Drosophila melanogaster: one gene and its partners. The protein of the gene in region 2 purifies or fractionates together with the protein of the main gene of each other region. This does not show direct contact. Each region holds a gene or a part of one and is shown on either strand. Other genes may lie near its edges.

Region 1 (4,953 bases), on a different chromosome or scaffold from region 2:
TTATATATTTTATTATTTTTTTTTTTTTGGTTTTTTTATGCGCACTTAATATATAAAATGAATATTGAATAATACTGAATGAAGCCAGATACTCACACTGAAATCCGAACGGGCAGAGCCAGGGGTAGTGCTCGAGATCGTCGGGAATCGGTGTAGGACCTGGAACGAGAACGCCCATGAGAACGACCACGCGAGTGACCACGGGAGCGACCGCGAGACCGGGAACGATCCCGCTTGCGGTCATCTCGCGTGTGTCTTCTCCGCGGCATGTGCCCCTCCTTCTCCGCCAGGATCAGCTCGCAGTCACTGTGGTCGGAACTGGAACTGGAAGATGAGCTAGTGTGATGACTATGACTATGATGTTTGCGTCCTCTGTGTCGTCGTTTACCTCCATCGGAGCTGCGGTGCTTGGACTTGGTCTCCTTGATGGAGAGTTGAGATTCCTGCTGCTGCTGCTTCTGGATCTGTTTCATCACATCGTTCAGCATTTTCTGGGCCATGTTGGCCTTTCGAATGAGACGCTCCATCGACGGCAAGGCCATGTCCTCGACTTCCACGGGCGTGGCATTTGGCAATTGGCCGCGGCATCCTTGACATGCATCCGGCCCTGCATTTGCCGCAGTTTGCTCACGTGCCACGTTATCGGATTGCGACATTTTTGCACTAGTTTACAACTGACCCGATAAGAAATTCACTCAACACTTTAATTACTGATTAACTACTGTTTCTCTGAACTGGATATAACTGCTGCGGAATCTGTTGCTTATGTTTCGACTGCTTCACTTGAACACTTGAATTTGACTGGCTTCTGCGGCATTCGGTCGATGAGCTTTTATAGGCAACTTTGGCGCCAAGCTAATCGCGACTTTCGGACTGTAAACATTTGCCTTTCTTTATCAGTCACATACTCATACAAACCACACGATAAATGTGACGTCATCTGAGCTATTTTTAACCAAATCGCATTCATGGGTTTTTGGGAAATTACTTCCATTGATCACGTGTTTTTAATGTTACATAATTTCATTGCCGAACGTAACCTCAAACATATTTCATATTTTTGCGAAATTCTTCTTACTTTTGTATTTCTGCATATTATATGCATTATAAATATTCTGCGTATTTTTATAAGCATACCTTTTATTATTTTTTACGATTTTGTGAAATATGACATTATTTTGATATAATTTTAATTTTGAATTTCGTCCAAGTGTGTAATTTTAAAACAATTATTTTATCGTTTTAAATCATCGAAAATTTTAAGAATATAAAGTATTAAGAAATTTACACAATTTTTTGAAAATGTTTTGGGATCTTAATAATTGCATAAATCAGGTTTAGCACATTATTTTAGAAATACTAAACGGTTAAATATTTTACAGAACTGCTATTTAATTTTAAGGTATAAGACTACGTATAAGACATTACCGCTTGAGACTAGTATTTTTATTGTGGTATTTTCATGATTGCTTTTGAATTGTGCCCGCCAAAATATGCAGTCTTAACCACAAGCGGTTAAAATCATTCCTTACGTTTACTTATATTTAAAAATCGACAAAAGGTATAATAATTCAAAACTATTAAAAAATTTTAAATAAAACTAAACGAGTCTAAGTTTTCTTAATCAAAATAGCTGTTAATATGGATAAGATATATTTGGCGCATCCAATAGATACATTTAACCGCTGAAGAGAATTAACAGTGTGATACGCCAGACTGTTAACAGACTGTTAAAACGCGATTTCCCGGCTTTGGTATTTTTACATTACCATCATTTGGTTTCTCTGATATTTTAAAAATCTATATAAGCAGCTCGCAACGCATTCTCTCTGTAATTTTTCGGGAGAGCGCAGCAGCGCGCGCTGTTTTTTCGGTTACCATTAAAAAATATTATTAAAGAAACATCGTTATAACTTTAATGCCAACGGAGTTGCGGCAATTGAAACTGATTTTTTAAGCAAACGAACAATAAATTCGACGTGGAGTGTGCTTCTGCTCGCCTACATGAAGTAATAGCGATGTATATTATGATTTAGTAAATATAAATCGATTTAATTAATATTTAAACTTGTTGTTTTCCGCGAGTGGGCGCGTTTTGTTACCAAGCCGCTATACGATTTTCGTTTTTCCGACTTTCCTGCGCGCCGAACGGGTTTTTCAACGAAGCCTTGCTGTCTTTTTCCTCGTAAGCAGCAAAAACAAGGCTGAAAAACTAAATTAAAGCGACTCGCTTCAGCTGCAGATTAATCGATGTGCGGCTATAGACTTTTAATTCGCAGATTCATCATCGATTTTTCCTTTGGGCTCAGCTGCAGTGCGCTAGTGTACGTGTATGTGCGTGTGTGTGAGTTGGTCCTGACAATACAAATAAGCCGTTGTGTTAGGTAAACGGAACAACAAAAGGAAGTGAACCAGAGAGAGAAAGAGAGAGAGGAAACGGCAGGACGATACCGAGTCCTTGAGCGATCATTCATGCTCTTCTTCTTCTCCAGCTGCAGCTGTCACGAAATTTCGCGCGTGCACGTGTATGTGTGTGTGTGGGAGACAGGGAGAACGCCGAAGTTAGTAATTTCTCTCCACTTCTCAGTGTTTGTGCATTCAATTTGCACAAAATTGAAGCGACGCGCTAAATTCGCAAATTTCCGTCCGCGAATTGCCATCCATTATTTTGCACTCCCCCCCAAGAGAGCGAGAGCAATAATAGAATTATCAGGCAAAGCAAAAAAAAAAATCAAAACTCAAGCGAAAAGAGAATGCCCTGGGAGGCCGTAATACCAATACCGCGACCCTCTGACATTTCCATCGTCGCCCACCAAAGGAACAACAACTGAGCGACAAAGACAGCAACAATCCGACAAACAAACAAACAAAACAGCAAACGAGCGAATCAACGAACGAAACTCCAGCAGCAGCCTCAACCTCCTCAACCGCTGGCACAGTTTTCCTCCTTCAACTCCAGCTCCGTGGGTGAGTAGCTACAGTGGAACGCCACTAAGTAGAACATTCTGCGAGTTCTAAGTTAAATTGCAGAGAATATCGCTTTGAGCACAAACTGATTAGAAATTGCCTTCACTTGGTCTTAGAAAGTTTACTAATACCAACTGATACATCGTTTTTTTGTTTGTTAATGTCAGTTTTAAATTGAAATCGATTAACAAATCTTAATGTCCTTTTTATATTTTTTTATAATGGATGTGGGATATGGGGGAAAGGCAAATGGCTCTTACGTGTAAAATTTTATAGTTTTTCCATAGCATTTAAGTACAATTAATTTTCTTTACGAAGAAAATGAAAGTTTTGCTTATGTAACAAGCCAAATTTAAGCAAATATTTTGTTTTTTGTATCAGGATAAAAGTTAAGCTTACCCAATCTCCACTGTAACTCATTGGCGGGTAGAAAGTGGTTATCGAATATGAGCTGCGTCTTATGTTGAAGCCACATCGTCGTGTGGGCGAGAGGGTGGTTGTGGTGGGTCAGAGGTGTGTTGGCGTCGTGCGGCTTTGGTTTTTAGCTGAAATTAAAAAGGTCAGGACCGCCGGACTGAGGGGCTTCCGGATTTTGTATCCTAGCCACGTAGTCCGCTTCATTATGCAGCGTTAACTTTGTATGTAAAAGCGTATATACGTATGTACATATGTACATACATATATGGATGTGGCAAGCGGTGAATATAATTTCAGTTGCATGACTTCGGCGATAATCGATTTTGAAGCGACGAAGCAATCAGGAAGAGTGCAATTTAATGTCAGTCCGTCACTCAGTCAGTCAAACAGTCACAACTTGACACACTGCAAAAAGTTATGCTGCAAAATGGAGGTCAGCATGACGTTTTTGCATTAAAGATACAAAGGGAAATGTAGCAAAAACCAAACTTTTTGCTTAAAAAGTTTGGTAATACTTAATGTTTGCATGGATTTAGGCAAGCAATTGCGTTTTAAGTTTACTTAGAAAAGTATATACATTTGTCAAGTAAATAGTATCAATGTGCTCAATCGATTCCCATTTCCTTGAATTAATAATTGGTATATGCTACCATTTTTCCGGCCTGCTTAAATGGCGTTTACCATATTCATAAGCGCCCCGGTTGATGGAGCAGCGGACATGTTAGCCGTTACTCCATAATGCGACAACTTGGCGACTTGAAGTGGGGGATGTCGTAATGGAGAGTGAGCTGAGGAAATCGCTAATTAAGCATCAATTAGTGCAGTTTCCGGTGCAAGAGCCGCTAGAAGCAAGCAAGCCACCGTTCTTGTACTTTCCACTCGTCGAACAAATCGTGTGACACATTTCGCTTTCCCACACACCAATTGGCGATAGGAGTTATCAGCACTTTTCAGCTTTAGCACTTCTTACCACTTTGGCTGGCCTGCCCCCTATCCCAAAAGATAATAACACATTGCATTTTCAATGTGTTTCCCCTGATATACATATACAAATGTGCCCGATTAGCGGGTATCTCAATAACAATGGCCGTAATTTATGATAAACAAGTTTTTGAAGTGTGCGAAATTTAGCAGCTCACTGATTTGAGCCTGTTTTTGGCGACACACCACACTCCGCTTGGTACCCCTTGTTCAAATGTTGCATTGTTTATAATCAGTAACGGACTCATAAGCGAACACATGTCTGGGTTGGTTTTCAAGGTCAGTTGAATGGCCAGATTCGCCTCGTTTGTGATTTGGCAACCCCATGGAAACACGATAAACGAGGGCAAACAGAGCTGAATTCAAGCTGCAGCCTCATCATCTCGTCTTTCTCCAGACAATGGCCATTCGGCTATACCATTTCAGAGGTTTATGCCTTGAGAGAACGCTTCTGGAGACGAAAACCCGGCCTGGACTGGAACCTTGCCAAGACACACTCGAGACGCGCGTTGACAATGAGCGAGGCTCTCAGGCGAGACTTTCAGGCGTCTCCAGATGCTTTCCATTCCATTCGCTTTGTCTGTGCCG
Region 2 (4,812 bases):
AAAGCGTTTTTTTTTTTTCCTGTGAGCCAAACGGCAATTAACGCTGCTCGTTTCCTACAATTCGGAGATGCAATTAAAATGCAAATGCTAACCGCTGGCTATCCCACATCCAGACCCAGACCCAGATCCGAATCCCATTTCCATTCCCATTGCCATTGCCATTAACCAAGTCATTTTACAGACGTTGATGGATTTGTGTGACGACCCTATAACTCATTTTCCACGACACATGTTCACAGATTTTCCATATGGTGTGGACCTGCAAGTCGTTACTTTGCACTTGGCGGATATGTGAGCATGGGGGAAAAAAGCATGGATCACTTCGTTTATTTTGGGTCACATTGGGGGCTTTGTGTTAGCCAGCCTTTGTTTTTTTGGGCGGCCTGTGTGTGGTGTTCCCAAATATGTGTTATCGTTTCACACTTAATCTTATCTCAGTTCCCCAGCACAATTACCCGTTTGACGCTAGGCAGAAAAATAAATAGCAGGTAAATATAATTCAGTTTCGTTGTAATGAGAATAATATAACCAAATTTATTGGCCACACAACTAGCAAATTGCAGAAAGTCGAGCCTCTTTCCCATCGAAAACTATAGCTATGCAAATCTATTTTCAGTCCCTTTGTTTTAAATGATTGTTTAACGATTGAAAAGTTATAAATAGACTGACAGTCATTAATCAAACGAAAGTAAAATTTTTTGACAAAAAAGTTGCAGATTATGGGATTATGGATTATGAATTTAAATGTTACTGTAACTATAAAAATGGTCGTATCATTATCATCATACATGATTCACATTAGTTAAGTGGTTGAAGTTTAAGCTTGAAATAATTTATTTATTTAGTGTTTAAAAATGAGTGCTATCTTATCATATTTACAACTGTATTCCGAATATATAGTTTGAATCACCGTTGATATATTTTTGAACAGGAAACTGAAACGGAACTTTCATTGCATATATTGATCCAATATTTTATAAGCACGTGTTGCGTTGGACAAACCAAAAAAAACTAATGTACATGAATAAAACAAGAGGGGCATGTACATAAAAAATCCATCAACGATGCCACGATAGAAGCAAAATACAACTGGAATTATGCTAATCGACTATCAAAACAAAAGCTGCAATTAAACCACACACTCTGGCTGACTTTCACTGCGAATCTTTGAACAATCGTCGGCCGTTTCAGTGTTTCTCTTTTTGTATTATATGCAAATTGGTCTAACGCATCTCGAGCCCAACTGCTGGCCACTCCAAAAAGATTGGTTTGCCTCCATTCGAGAAACTTTGGGCTACATATCTGTATAACCCGTCGAAGGTTCCATATAATTCATATAGGCAGCTGTCGGCGCTGACAATGGACGGCAATGGAGATCAGGATTGTGATCCTGCGATCCTGTCAGCTGTGTGGCGCGTGTTGGGAATTGCTTGCCACCCGGCGAGGGGGAGGTCACGTCGGTTTGAAAGGGGGTTGAACGGGGCTTGAGTGACAGCCAGCACAGGGACAACAACAGGACTTCCTCCAGTGCACCGCAAAGGATCTCGAATTATATGGAATTATATGCGCGACACCCTTGTGCGAATATTAGGTGAAATGATACAGTGATACCTCAATAAATCCATCAAATATTTATTATAAAGTAAAATGTCTTGGTTAAAGGGAAATGCAAATAGGTAAGTTAGTTTTAGCACCCATATAAACATTCTTGTTTGTTTCTAGCCACCGATTCCCGTGAACAAGGACAACATTCCTCACCCCCCCAGAGAAATATAGATACCCTGGCCACATGAAAGGGTATCGACGAACCCGTTTAATTGGCTTTAAAGTGTTCAGAATAGGTTGGGCACGTCTGCAAACATGGACACGCATGCGCAGGAGCGGCGTCCACATCCCTGCTCCTCCAGCTCCTACTCTGCCCCTATTTTCCACATAAATAAACGAAATGTGCCTCGAATGGGAAATCAGACGGCCAGTCAGTCGATCGGGGAGAACGACACTTGTGTCCCTGGTTGACAGGGAAGGGAGGGGGGTGTGGCTCCAAGAAATGTTTGCTCATTTCCGCACTCAATTAAAATGGTCGGGACACAAAACTATCTTTGAGTTTGCTTTAAAAACACAACAACAACAACTGTGAACTGACGACGTTGACATGGGCCCCTGTCTATAAATAGAATTATGTACATACACACACATATGGACACATGGAATAGGGTGCATGGTTGTGGGTGCGGGATGTGGATGAGGATGCGTGGTAGGAGGACAGCTGTGGGAATTGCAGGAATGGTGGTGACATTTGCTGTTGCGACTGCGCACTCCTTTTGTTCGATTTACGGTCACGTTTTCTGTTTGAACCTCCTGTTCTATAGAGAACTAATAATATTGGAGGGCAAACAAAACAAATATGAGTCATGGTTAGAATAAGTTTACCAAAGCCAGAAAAGAGCTAAATTCTATGTAACTACTTGGTATAGAAATTAATAAAATGTAATGATTAATTGTACTTTGGTTTAGTTTATGTGCAAAAAACGATTCCCAGTTGAAAGTACTCATATGTAGGGTGCAGTCACTTCCGCGATTGCTAATCGATTTCTTGTTTGCAACACTGGCATATTGTACATAGGTAACCAATTTTCGTGGACAAGAATGTGCCAATGTCAGGCGGAAAGGCGAAAAGCGCAAGTCAACAGAAAGCAAAAGGCAGCAAATCCGCCTTCACAGGTGACCACCACTCGCTGTCAGGCGGTTATCCCCTTACCCCTATTCCTCCAGAGAGATATTGGCCACTTACCTTAAGACGGCTGGAAATCTGTACGTGCGTAAGTTACTGGCAAATGGGGATTATGTTTCCGGGGACGCACACGAACACATTGATGAAGGCGCAATCCACTTGGAATCGATCTCCTGCGTGGATTTTGTTTGGTTCGAATTTAGAACTTGCAATTTATAGCCACGATACACTATTTCCAAAAGTTTGTAACACTTGAAGTATTTTCAGCTGGGTGTTGTGTTTGTTTGCCTCGGTTTTAACAGTTTAGATTTAAGATTCAAGCGGCGATCGGAAGGCGACCAGCACGAGCGTCTCGAATCGCGTACCGTCGCGTTGGAGAGTCGAGTCGAACTGAAATCAAATCCACAACAATCCACTTTTGGATTTTCGACTTCGAAAAGCAACGGCACCGAAACAACAACAAGCACGCGCAAAACAGCTGACCGCTAGAGGTGCCACCACCGCTGCCGATAGTTAGGGCGCAAAATCTGCCCTGCAGTGTGACCAGAGATTAGTTTTGGCGCTAATTTTAAATATGCGTTACTTTTCAAATCCATAATGGTTAGATGGGTTTTTAAGATACTCATTTTCGTAGATGCAGTAGTTTTTACTTATCCTATTTGTGTAGCCAGTTCTAAACTTAAAGCTTGGAATATGGTAATTTAAGATGCACCGCATATCAGTATATATAAACAGTATACTCTTCAAAAAGATTCACCGCTGATCGTGCTGTTTTTAAGTTTAATTATGAAAGATGCAAACGAAAATGGCCAAGTTTGAATGGAATGGGTTAAGAATGCGGTGTTATCGAGTGGTTCACTCTTCTGCAACACCTGCATCACGACTGGTCCACAGTCGCAGTGGTTTATCCGTCAGAATGTTGGATAGTGTTGTACTCAGTTCTCAGTACTATACTATAATTATTTCAGCAAAGCAAGAAGATTTGGCAACTTTTCAAAATATAGATTTCGATGGCTGCACAACGGTGCGTTCTCATATTCTTGTTCCCTATATATTTTAAGTTTAGTGACGTGGAGCAGGACAATTGGTTCCCACATACCGCCCGTACTCTTTGTAAAAGTTCCAAGAGGGGTTGTTTAATGAATAAAAAGTGAGGTGACTAATTATTTTCCTGTCCTTAACTTTACCAGCTACCACCACCACCTGGATGCATTCTGGGGATCAAATATTCCGCCAGCCTTTGTTGCAAATATTTAGATAAATAACACTAGCGAATGAACGAGAAACGAGTGTGAAATAGGAGCCATTGTATCGTACGATTTTCCGTCTTTGATTTTTCGCTCTCATAATGGGTCAGCGCCCCGCTTATTAATTGAGCTCAATCAGGAGCGTCTTTATTAATTGTCGCAGGGGTATATTGTGTTTTACTAACTATAGTAAGTTATAAGTTATAAGTAAGTATGGTTGAACCCTTCTAACTTTGTAATACTAGATTTCAAAGTTGAAGTTACTTGGTGTACTTGCTTAACTATAAGATATAATTTTCTAATGAAACTAAGTTCTTTTAGCTGATGAAAACTGGTATCTCAACGAACAAGAATGGGTATCTCTTAGTCGCTAGACTCAACTGCGACCATTTCTTTGTATTTTTGCAATACCCGCTTAATTGTCTGTCTGTCGCAGCGCAGCTCAATTGGAAGTGAAAGAGAGCGCGTAGGTCTGAGTGATCGTGATCGCCTGATTGACAAACGACTGCCATCGGATGAGGCATTCGAGTTTCCACTTACCTGGCTTACCTGGCTGCAAGCGGCTGTGCAAATGGAAATTGGTAGAGGCTTTCCCCGTAAGTGGCCGGGGATCGGTGTAATTTGCTACCAAAAACGACTAGGGGTGGCTCCGTACCATGTTAGTCATATCTCCACCTTCTCCTCGTCCGCCTGAAGTGGTTGTATCTGGGTATTGCTATCTTGGTATTAGAGACCCGCTCTCCCGATTCCATATCGATTCCACTGAGAGTGCGCATGCAGCCGGCGTTTGTTTGCCGTTCTTCTTTTCGCATATAACATAAACAGTCGGATATA
Region 3 (5,279 bases), 4.3 Mb from region 2:
TGCGCAACTCTGGAACCGTTCCCATCGAGTAACCATCGGGGATAAGGCGGTGCCAAGGGACACGTGTGCGTAATCAGCGTCGCAAGAATCCATCGGATTGCATGGCAGCCCACACCCCTTCCTTCTCATTCTTCAACGAGGAGTTTCAGCATGAGAAAATTCCACCACATCGAAATCAAAAACGAGTTGCACGGGGTTGGTATGAAAAACGTAAACAATTTCCTGATTCTTTAGGTACAGGCTTTTTTAAATGCATATACAAGATATAACGTATTTTAAGAACGAAGTTCAAGGTGATGATACTGTACACTTCTACATTTTAGATCAGAATACCTTTTATTTCTTTTTTTTTTTTACAGATAATTTGACCTTATATGAATAAATTGGCTAATAAATGGAAAAAATAATTGATGCATTCTCATTATTTTCGTTACATTCAAAGATGAGTCTATTTAATTTAAATAGCTTTAAAGAAGGTCTCACTTTCCAAGACACCTTTTTCAGATTTTTTATTTGATTTCTCATGCCTTAAAATGCATTGCATCAAAATGATATTTTTTATGAGATTAGGTAAGTCCCATATTTCCAGAACACAAACGCGAAAGATAGAAAACAATCAGATTTGGAATTTAGTCGGAGAGTGCTCGAAAGAGATTTCAGAAACACCTCTGGCTGTGTTGTGTGCAACGTGTATTGATTATATTTCGAATCGGATCTTAGCTAAGGTATATAATTTATAATAGTACGATAGAGTAGTTGTTACAAAGGAATAGCCTAGATGTTGCGCGCCTTGAGCACCTGCTTCTGTGGCGGACTGGGCACGTTCTCCTTGCCGGCGAACAGGACAGTCTTCTTGGGAGTGCTGGCCGCCGATCGTGGTGTTCGTGGGGTGTGGGGGGTGCGCGGACTGCGCGGGGTGTGCGGCGCCTTGGGTGTGCGGGGGGCGGGACGGGGCGAGGACTTGCCGGCGGACAGGAGCTCGTTGATCTCGCTGGTGGTATCCTGGCGCACGCACTTGTCCGAGGAGTTGAGCAGCCACGTGGTGATCTTCTCGCAGTCGGATCGCAGCTCCGAGTCGCACAGCAGATCCTCGATCTTCTCCAGATCGGTGGTATTGGAGCGGTTGGCCTTGCCAGGTGTTCCCAGCAGAGAGGCGGATCCCGGTTGCTTGGACTTGAGGGCAATGTTCTCCAGCTTGAGCTGTTCGCACTCCTCGCGCACCTTAACAAGCATCTGCTCCTTGTTGTCCAGCTCCAATTGGGCGAACTGCAGCACGGTGGCGAATTCATCGAGCGCCTTCTTCATGTCCACCATGTAGGCCTCGCGCGTCTCGTCCTTGCGGCGCAGCTCGTGGTAGTGGGCCAACTGGGCGTCGCCATCGATGCGCTCCTGGAACGAGTTTGCAATCTGATTGAATTTAGCCAACGTCTCCGCCTCGCCGGCTAGCAGCTCGTGGAGCAAGGACTCCTTCAACGATACCTCGCTCTGCAGCGTCTGGGAGGAGGATCTCAGTGCGTTGAGCGCATCCTGGCTCTCGGTCAATTGCTGGCGCAGTTGCTCTGCGTCCGCCTGCAACACCAGATAGCTCTGCTCCAGCGCTCCCTTGGCCAACTGCACCGATTCCAGCTCCGCTCGGTACTGCTCCACATCCGCATCGGACTTCTTTAGACGCTCCATCAGAATGTTGACGGTGGCCCGGGTGTTGGTCAAAGTCAGCTGGTAGTTGTACTTCTCGGTGATCGTCTTGGCCATGTCCTGCTTCAGCTGCACCAGCTGCTGCTGCAGTGCGTCGCTCAGCTGGATGTAGTAGTCGATGCCGTTGCGCAACTGCTCTTCGCATTTCTGCAGCTTCTCGTCGCGCATGCGCAGCATATCATTGGTGGTCTCCAGCAGCACCATCACGTCCTGCTTCTCCAGCTCGATCTTGATCAGCTCGTTCTCGGCCAGCTTCTGGCGCTTGTCCAGCTCGGCGCGCCAGTAGCTCTTCTCGCGCTCCACCGCGCTCTCTAGGTCGCTCTCAACCTGCTGCTGCACCTTGGCCACCGCCTGCTGCTGCTCGGTGTGGCGAGCCTGTTCCCGGCACAGCTGGCGAATGGTATCGCAGTGAGCATCGATCTCGCAGTTCTTGTCGAGAAGCTCGTCTTGCAGCGAGCGGATCAGAGTGCACTTGTTGGCCAAGTCATTCTTCAGGGTGTTGCGCTCCACCTTCAGACACTCCAGTTCCGCCTGGCAGCTCTTGGCCTCCTGTCCGTAGGACAGGGCATCCTGTTCGATCTGCTGCTTCAGCTGGACCACGTCGGCCAGCAGGGAGGCATTGGTCTTCTGGAGATTCTCTACCAGCTCAATGTTCTCGGCGGTCTTTGCCTGCTCCAGGCTGCAGTGCTCGCGGGCCTGAGCCACATCCGCCTGAAGAGCAGAGAGTTGTGCCTGCAGCTGCTCCTCCACCTTTTGACGATCCTCATTCGCTGTCTGCAGCAGCTCGTTGGCCAGACGCAGTGCCTCGCTCTCGGCAACCAACGCCTCCACTTGCCTTTCATGCTCGTCGTGCTGTTGCTGCAACTGCTGCTCCATGGCGGCCAAACGCTCCAAAAGATCAGCGTGCTCCTGGCCCATCTGCTCGTTCAGAGCTTTGTGCGATAAATTCTCACTGGTCAGGGCTTCGATGAGCCGATCTGTCTTGGAGGTAGCCAACTCATGCTCCTCGCGCAACTTGGCCTCGGCTTCCTTCAACTGATCCACATGGCGGCGCAGCACGTCCAGTTGGCTCAACTGGCTCTCGATCAGTTCGTTTTTGTGACGGATTTCGTACTGGAGTGCCTCCTTGCCCTTCAGACGGCTGGCTGACTTGGCCTCCTTTACGGGCGTGGTGGCTGCCGAATGCAGAGGAGTGGATGCCGCTGTTGAGGCGCCACTTCCGCTTCCGGTGGCCGTATCCGTGTGACTGGGAGTCGGACGGAAGCGTAGGCGCTGCGGCAACGAAGGAGTACGGAACAGACGTAATCCCTTTGACTTTTTGTCCTCCTTGGGAATGGCAAATTCCTTGGCCTCCTTCGAGCTGGACGCGAAACGCACGGCGTCCTTGAAGAACTTCTCGATCTGCTCCTTGCGTTCCGGTTGAACGGTTGGCGGAGCAGCGGCTGCCGAAGACGCGGTGGGCGTGGCACTGCCCGCCGATCCCGCCGAGCTGTTGGACGCAGCTGGCGAACCGCAGATGGCCACATCCACGTCGTTGAAACGCTTCAACTTGGCCTTGGAGAAAGACATTTTCGAATTTGTTTTTTGGACTTTCGGTTTAACTTGGTAACGATTCTTTTCGGATTTTGTATCAATGTCTCATTAACAACGCTCGTTTAACTTTCGATATAACAATAACTCAACGATCAAACATAAACACAACTTTAACTTTCGGTTTAATTTGGTTATCTTTTCCTTAGGATTTTTAGGTAAACTGTTTAACAATATGGTAGTAGTCTGTAGTCGTATTTAATTCATCTGTACTTTGTGGTCCGTTCTGTGCTACACTAAACCCGCTATCCCGTTGCTACCCGTTTCACTGTACCTACGCGTTCCGCTGTCAAAACCTAACTGAGCTCACCTTCTGTCCAAGATCCCTGAGGCAGACATAGCCTCCAGCTGGCACAGCGAGTGGAAAAGGGATGGATAGAGTGTGGAAACGAGATAGACCCAGGGGAGGCAAAGAAAACAACCCTCGCTCGAGCAGGGGTCGCTTCAACGATCCTGCATTGCTTCACCTATGTGGGATATACCCAACATTTCAGGTTGGGTATTTCCGAGATCTTCAAACGAAAAATGGTTTATGGTTTTCATTTCGTAGGACTTTCATTTTAATCTAATAACATTAACATTGAATATAATAATTAGTGGACATAGAAAATAATATCACGACAATTTTGGATTTTTTAGATATTAGCTGAACAAAAATTTCATATTCCTTAAACATTCTAATGTTAATTTAATATTAGACAAGTCATTTGCAGACGGCATAATTCTTCTGATCTTAACCACTTTTCAATTTAAATTAAACATATAATATTATATATTTTCTATAATGTCCTCTTTTAAGAGTATCTAGAATTCAGGTAAGCCGAGTTATACGACTCCTAATTTTTTTTTTATTTGGTGGTAGTTCGTGCCACAGTTCTTGATCCCCTGTTCGTCTTATCTGTGTGTTTGTCAAGACGTCGGCCTCGTGTATATAAAGGAAATGTTTTCATTTTAGCGCGCGCAAATGTTGCAATTGTAGTTCAAGACAGCACGAGGAGGGTTCGAGACCGGAGTGGGGGTAGCAAGATGGGTAGGGGTGGAGATAGGACGACGGGGTTCCGCATTCCCCGGCTTAAGTACATATGGGAAATGTGCCGTTGCCGACGAACAGAGACACACTCACTCACATCTGCCTGGGCTTCTCCTTTCCTTCGAGGACTACAAGTAAATGCGATTGCTTTCGAGAATTGCGAGACTACGAGTACAAGGATATGAGCTGATGGCTGGATGGACTGCCTCATCCGTTAGCTCCAACACAGCTGGCAGCCAGCATAATTCGTTAATTTGATACGAAATCCGATGCCCGCATAATTAAAGGAAAATGCGTCGGAAATGGGCGAGTTGCGCCTGCGCAATGAGTTGAATGGAATTGAGGCTAAATGAATTGCATGGAAAATGGAAATGCGTCGGGAAAATTGATTTTTCATGTGATATCGCTAGGCAGTTGGGCAATCGGCCATCTATAATCTGTATAGAGAACCCCCTCATGATATCCTGCTGATCCTGCGGTAGCTGCCTGTGCATCCTGTCATTTTTTCACTTCTTTTCTCCAGTGAGTTTGTCACAACTGCCAACTGAAATCAGCTGGTTGTTCCTTTGATGGCAAACAATGACCGGAAGATTCTAGCAACTGGGAGGTGATAATTCTAGGTTAAAGCAGACAAGCATGAAATTCTGGGTGGGTCAGCCACACACAGCTGTGCAAAAGAATTATAATGTAGAAAGACAATGTAGGGAGCCATAGGACAAGGGAAATCGTTTGGAAATCAATAGAATATTAATACTCAAGCATTACTTTTTAATTTATATTTATGCTTCACAACCTTTGTCAATTTATATAGTTCATGTACATAATATGTATGTATATAAGGTTACGAAACCATCCTTTGGTTTCATAGAGGTAATATTTTCCCATAAACATATTTGCATTTGATTTTCCCAAACTCTCTTATAATAAAAATGGAAATTTTACGAAAAAGGGTTTTCATTATTCG

What was found.
Region 1: the proteins of jar (region 2) and corn purify together in Drosophila melanogaster (affinity purification with western blotting; one study listed by BioGRID). This does not show direct contact.
Region 3: the proteins of jar (region 2) and mira purify together in Drosophila melanogaster (affinity purification with western blotting; 2 studies listed by BioGRID, with this or other methods). This does not show direct contact.

The regions. Positions count from the first base shown.
Region 1 is NT_037436.4:7,153,950-7,158,902, reverse strand, and holds the start of corn (cornetto), read left to right. Parts: upstream 1-1,829; 5' UTR 1,830-2,967; intron 2,968-4,953. Other genes in the region: CG8620 (uncharacterized protein), read right to left, coding at 93-656.
Region 2 is NT_033777.3:24,268,108-24,272,919, forward strand, and holds the start of jar (jaguar), read right to left. Parts: upstream 3,127-4,812; 5' UTR 2,792-3,126; intron 1-2,791. UniProt on the Drosophila melanogaster protein: Myosin is a protein that binds to actin and has ATPase activity that is activated by actin. Together CLIP-190 and jar may coordinate the interaction between the actin and microtubule cytoskeleton.
Region 3 is NT_033777.3:19,931,410-19,936,688, forward strand, and holds mira (miranda), read right to left. Parts: upstream 3,590-5,279; 5' UTR 3,265-3,589; coding exon 775-3,264; 3' UTR 625-774; downstream 1-624.